Linked DNA regions of Bombyx mori. The protein of the gene in region 1 binds, or shares a complex with, the protein of each later gene. Links are inferred from orthologs where the notes say so. Each region holds a gene or a part of one and is shown on either strand. Other genes may lie near its edges.

Region 1 (2,427 bases):
GGGGGTGTCAGGTGAAAGGTTTAAGTGACATTTCGTTTAATACGCGAAATTTATCTTCAGTGTTGGCATCAACAGTCAGATGCTTTTAATTGAACTTCAATTATGTTTACTCCAATGAATTAGCTGAAGATTTTTTTGGATATTTTGTCCAAATTTTAAACTTGAAATGACTCTCCTGTAAAATTGCAAAAACGTCGCTTAAACCTGATAGCCTTTCAACCCGCAATATTTAATTAGTTGTAAATAAATTTTAGTTAAAGTTACTGTAATTTCAGGTTTGGGATTTAATGGTCGGAGCTGATAATGTTCGTGCAATGCTAGGTCGTCTTATACGTGAAGAGTCCCTACGTACCTATCTGTTCACATATGCTCACGTGTACGCGTCACTGTCATTGCGTTCTCTCGCTGACATGTTTGAATTACCACGTCAACGCGTACATTCTCTAGTGTCTAAAATGATCATCAACGAGGAGCTCTTGGCATCATTGGATGACCCGAGCGAATGTGCTATCTTGCACCGTTCCGAACCAACACGTATGCAGGCTCTGGCACTACAGCTTGCCGACAAGGTAGGTGGTTTTGGAATATGATGGATATTTTGATTAATTTAGGATAAGACGTCTGGTGCATTTATATCTAGCGATGTCATCTAGCGTACCGCCACCACGTATAATACTCCTATTCAAACTCTTCTCATCCCCCAACCTATAGATGGGTACAATATCTTCCAATAGTATTCCGCGATATATTTACGCGCTTAAGTGAGATGCTTTGAAGAGCCCGCACTTGATACTAACTAATTAATTGATTCCGCTTACACTTTTAATCTATGCTGATATACTTCATCCAATAATTTTGATATATGTCCTATAATTTATAATTTTGCTATGTATGCTTGGTTTGTAATTGCGAGTCCGAATACGTAATGAAGTCATTCGGGCAATAACCAAAGTAATTGATATAGCTCGCAGAGTTAGTAAGCTGAAGTGGCAATGGACTGGTCACATATGTCGCAGAACCGATAACCATTGGGGTAGACGTGTTCTGGAGTGGAGACCGCGAACCGGCAAACGTAGTGTAGGACGCCCTTCTGCTAGATAAAGCGACGACCTACGCAAGGCAGCTGGCAATGACTGGATGCGTAGAACTGAAGATCGGGTTCAGTGGCGAGCTTTGGGGGAGGCCTATGTCCAGCAGTGGACTGCCACAGGCTGATGATGATAATGACGTAACTCAAGGTTTTTGAGTCCACATAAAGCAAAAGTCAAGCTTGCAACAATCGCGGACTGTCATGGTGGGTTGAAAATATTTTGTTCTACAACTTGAGACTTGTATTATTGCAGGTCGGAAATTTGGTGGATTCGAATGAGCGTATATTCGAAAAACAAGGCTCGTTCTTCCAACGGGGCGGCGCACAGCGCGGGGAGGGGCGTCAGCGAGAGCGGCCGCGTGAGGGCTGGAACCGACGCACCCGCAACCGTCGCCGCGACGACGAACGCGCAGACGACTAGAATTGCTCTAAAGCAAAAAACGATACGAGAATTTTTCTATCACATTTTAATTAATAGTCTCCGTAAATACTACGAACTGTGTGCTTAGTGCGAGTTTTTTAACGTTCTCGATAACATAAAAGGTAGCTCATATCTGTATGGAATGGGATCGTTTGCCTGCGTTTGTCGCTAGGGGCGCTGTTCCAACTGCATACAAAATTGGGTTAACTTTTACTCTATCGAAAACGTTAAAAAATTCGCACTAAGCACACTGTAAACATTGTAGTTATAAAATTAATTGTGTAAAACTCGTCAGCATTATCAACTCCAGACAGTTTCTTTTTCGATTCCAAGAACAATTAATTTCACAAATGTGTATTCATTTTTTCATTTATCTTAAATTTTGGAAAAATAAATCGTGTCACTTGAGAAGCATTTTTATTTTATTTTTAAATAGCGTAATTTATGTCTGTCACACGACCCCCAATCTGACCTAGGCGAGGGGGCAACACAAAGCCGCCGTCGCCCCAAACATGACTTCGAATCCTCCGAACCATTCTGGGTGCTTTTAGGCTCTTCAAACACCGGACACCATTCTTATCGAAAAGTTCGATTTGCAACTTGACTATTGACACAAACTACGGAGTTTCTCACTGAATATTCTCAGTGGGTAATGAATCCAATCCGGTGGTAGATTCAGCGAAGCACTACTCTTGCTAAGGCTTGTGTTAGCAAATTCTCAGGTTGAGCCCGTGAGCTCACCTACCCGTCCGCCCGTAGCTGGAATAGCTTCATAAGCTGCCCGCGAACCATAAAGAATAGAACAAAGAAGCACCAGGTGACAAATTAAAAAAGTCTATCTGAACTCAGCAAATTATTGTTCGAGAACTCACCGAAATAGCGCTAGCTGTAGGAAGTGGAAATGGTATAAACATAG
Region 2 (2,685 bases), on another chromosome or scaffold:
CTCTCTTCTGCGCTGCTATACATGCAACGCACTAAACAATTGTTCTCCTCCCGTTCCTACCAGAATGATCAGATCAACAAACAGACCGAGCAAATGTACCATTTACTGGCCATTTGTTTGGTCTTGCATCCGCAGTGCGTTGATGAATCCATCCAGCAGGTTAGTAACCTATCATACCAGCTTTATCTAGATGACTTAAAATATAGTGTATGTACTAATTATATTATATTCATACAAATACAAATTCTATATCCAGGTGCTTCGAGAAAAGAACTACCATGAGAAGATGTTTAAAATGCAATATGGAGACCTAGGTGAATTCGAGAGCTGCTTTACTTTCGCGTGCCCCAAATTCTTATCGGCGTGTCCCCCGCCCATTGAACCCGGTGCCAACTATGGCCGTGATGCTGTCAAACACCAGACCCAAGTCTTTATGGACGAGGTAATATTAGTGATAGTATTGTGACATTATCTATCTATCAATTTAAACAAGACTAGTTTGGTTTATTATACCTCTTCTTCATTTGACTCCAACAATCTCTATTCATAGGATGAGAGTCAAGCTTAATTAAACCTGGTTGAACGATACCCAACTATGGTTTCATCTCATGTTGATTTTTTTTTTTCGGTCCTGGGGCCTAACCTACGAGGTCCCCACGCCTAGGGGGCGCGCGAGGTATGTGGGACTTGACGGTCTGCAGGTGTTGGGAGCAGACCGCGGGCCCAAGGAATTTTAGGGCCCTACCGCACTAAACGACTGCCCTGCACTCACTGTTACACCCGACGTCCGATCTCCATCCGGGGTCAGAGTAGGGGGTTCCCACGGTCAACAATACAACTAGACACGCGGCGCCACCCCAAGGACGCCCGACCAACGGGTCGTCGAGGCGTTAGTCGACAACCAACGACGCCGGTCTCCGCGGTACGGCGGCGCTACTAGGCCGCCCGGGCGATGCCACTGGTGTTCCGGGATCCGCTGGGACAGAACCAGCCTGCCGGGTCAGAACGCCATACACCGCCGACCGGGTTCCTCTTTTCCACAGTATGTTCGGCGACGACAGCGACGACGACAATGCGGACTGTTCATATTGATACTTTAACTTTAGCCAACTTAGAGTCTCTTTTTCTCATATCTCTAACGAGTAACCTTCACTTATTATATTGTAGGTCCGTCAACAAAAAATGCTTCCGACCATACGTTCCTATTTGAAACTATACACCACCCTCCCGATGGCGAAACTAGCTGCATTCATGTCTGCTGCTCGCGGCAGTGAGCGTGACGCGGCACGTGAACATGCGGCTCTCGCCATTCACTTGCTCTGCTTCAAGCACAAAATGAAGAACGTAGTTTGGACTAAAGGCCCCAGTGGTCTTGATGGAAAATTCCAAAGTGGTTCTGAGGTAAACAAACCTGTTATACTGCCTATAATTATTATTTATCTTAAGCTGGAATTCAAGTCGTCGTGACCTAAAGGATAAGACGTCCAGTGCGTTCGTATCTAGCGATGCAACGATATACGAATCCCGCAGGCATGTAGCAATTTTTCTAATGAAATACATATTTAACAAACGTTCACGATTAACTTCCACGGTGAAGGAAGTGTAATAAAAATCAAACCTGCAAAATTATAGTTTGCGTAATTACTGGTGGTAGGACGTCTTGGTACCACCACCTTGCCTATATCTGCCCTGAAGCTGTAATGAGTTTGTTTGAAGGGTGGTGCAAAAGTTGTAATATACTGAGACCTTAGAAATAATATCTCAAGGCGGGTGGCGGCATTTACTGCATAGATGTCTATGGGCTTCAGTTAACTACTTAACACCAGGTGGGCCGTGAGCTCGTCCACACATTTAAGCAAAGAAATAAAATAATAATTCAATACTACTTTTCTTTTTCAGTTGGATTTCTACATCGACAACGATATGATTCATATCGCAGATACGAAAGTGGCTCATCGCTATGGTGACTTTTTCATCCGCAAGCTGTTGAAGTTTGAAGAACTAAATAGAAAACTACACCATATTAAAATTTAAAATGGCCATTGTATCAAAACATTTACAAATAAATGATTTATACTAAAATGTCTTTAAAAACTCACAAATTACAAATTTGCATAATTACTTATGGTGTCTTGTCATTTTCTACTACAAAGCAGTCGTACGTCCGGTTTAAAAGGATAGTCATAATAAAATACAATTAGGAATTCAATATCATAAGGATAGTGGCTTTCAAATTGTGATGTCTGTGTTCTAGTAATGACTTAACAACGCACCATCGGCTCTTGGTGAGATAAAAAAATGGGGTGGCCCACAACCTTTCAAATAAATTACGTGAGAGGTGATGATCACTCATGATAAAAAATGTTTTTTTTTTTTACCTACCTAAGCTGAGAGCCTTGAAAAGCTTTATCAGCGTAACCTTAACGGTAGTAGGTGAGCTCACGGGGCTCGAACCTGACGACGTTGCTAGCACGAACCCTAGCAAGAGCCGTGCTTCGCAGAATCTACCACCGGATCGGAAACGCGACCCACTGAGAAGATCCGGCGAGAAACTCAGTGGGCTGTGTCTGAGGGTTAATTTACTCGTCGAGCCCTTCGTCGCAAGCGACGGGTTCGACGAGAACGATGACCGGTGCTTGAGATACCTAAAAGCACCGTTAGTGGATCGGGAGGAATGAATTTTCT

What was found. Proteins that work in one complex are often made in the same cells at the same time.
Region 2: eIF3c (region 1) and eukaryotic translation initiation factor 3 subunit L share a complex: the UniProt entries of both Drosophila melanogaster proteins name them as parts of the eukaryotic translation initiation factor 3 (eIF-3) complex. The link is inferred for Bombyx mori from reciprocal best matches to the Drosophila melanogaster genes eIF3c and eIF3l.

The regions. Positions count from the first base shown.
Region 1 is NC_085122.1:5,765,291-5,767,717, forward strand, and holds the end of eIF3c (eukaryotic translation initiation factor 3 subunit C), read left to right. Parts: intron 1-275; coding exon 276-569; intron 570-1,343; coding exon 1,344-1,511; 3' UTR 1,512-1,922; downstream 1,923-2,427. UniProt on the Drosophila melanogaster protein: Component of the eukaryotic translation initiation factor 3 (eIF-3) complex, which is involved in protein synthesis of a specialized repertoire of mRNAs and, together with other initiation factors, stimulates binding of mRNA and methionyl-tRNAi to the 40S ribosome.
Region 2 is NC_085117.1:14,766,011-14,768,695, reverse strand, and holds the end of eukaryotic translation initiation factor 3 subunit L, read left to right. Parts: coding exon 1-159; intron 160-256; coding exon 257-442; intron 443-1,167; coding exon 1,168-1,401; intron 1,402-1,899; coding exon 1,900-2,034; 3' UTR 2,035-2,082; downstream 2,083-2,685. UniProt on the Drosophila melanogaster protein: Component of the eukaryotic translation initiation factor 3 (eIF-3) complex, which is involved in protein synthesis of a specialized repertoire of mRNAs and, together with other initiation factors, stimulates binding of mRNA and methionyl-tRNAi to the 40S ribosome.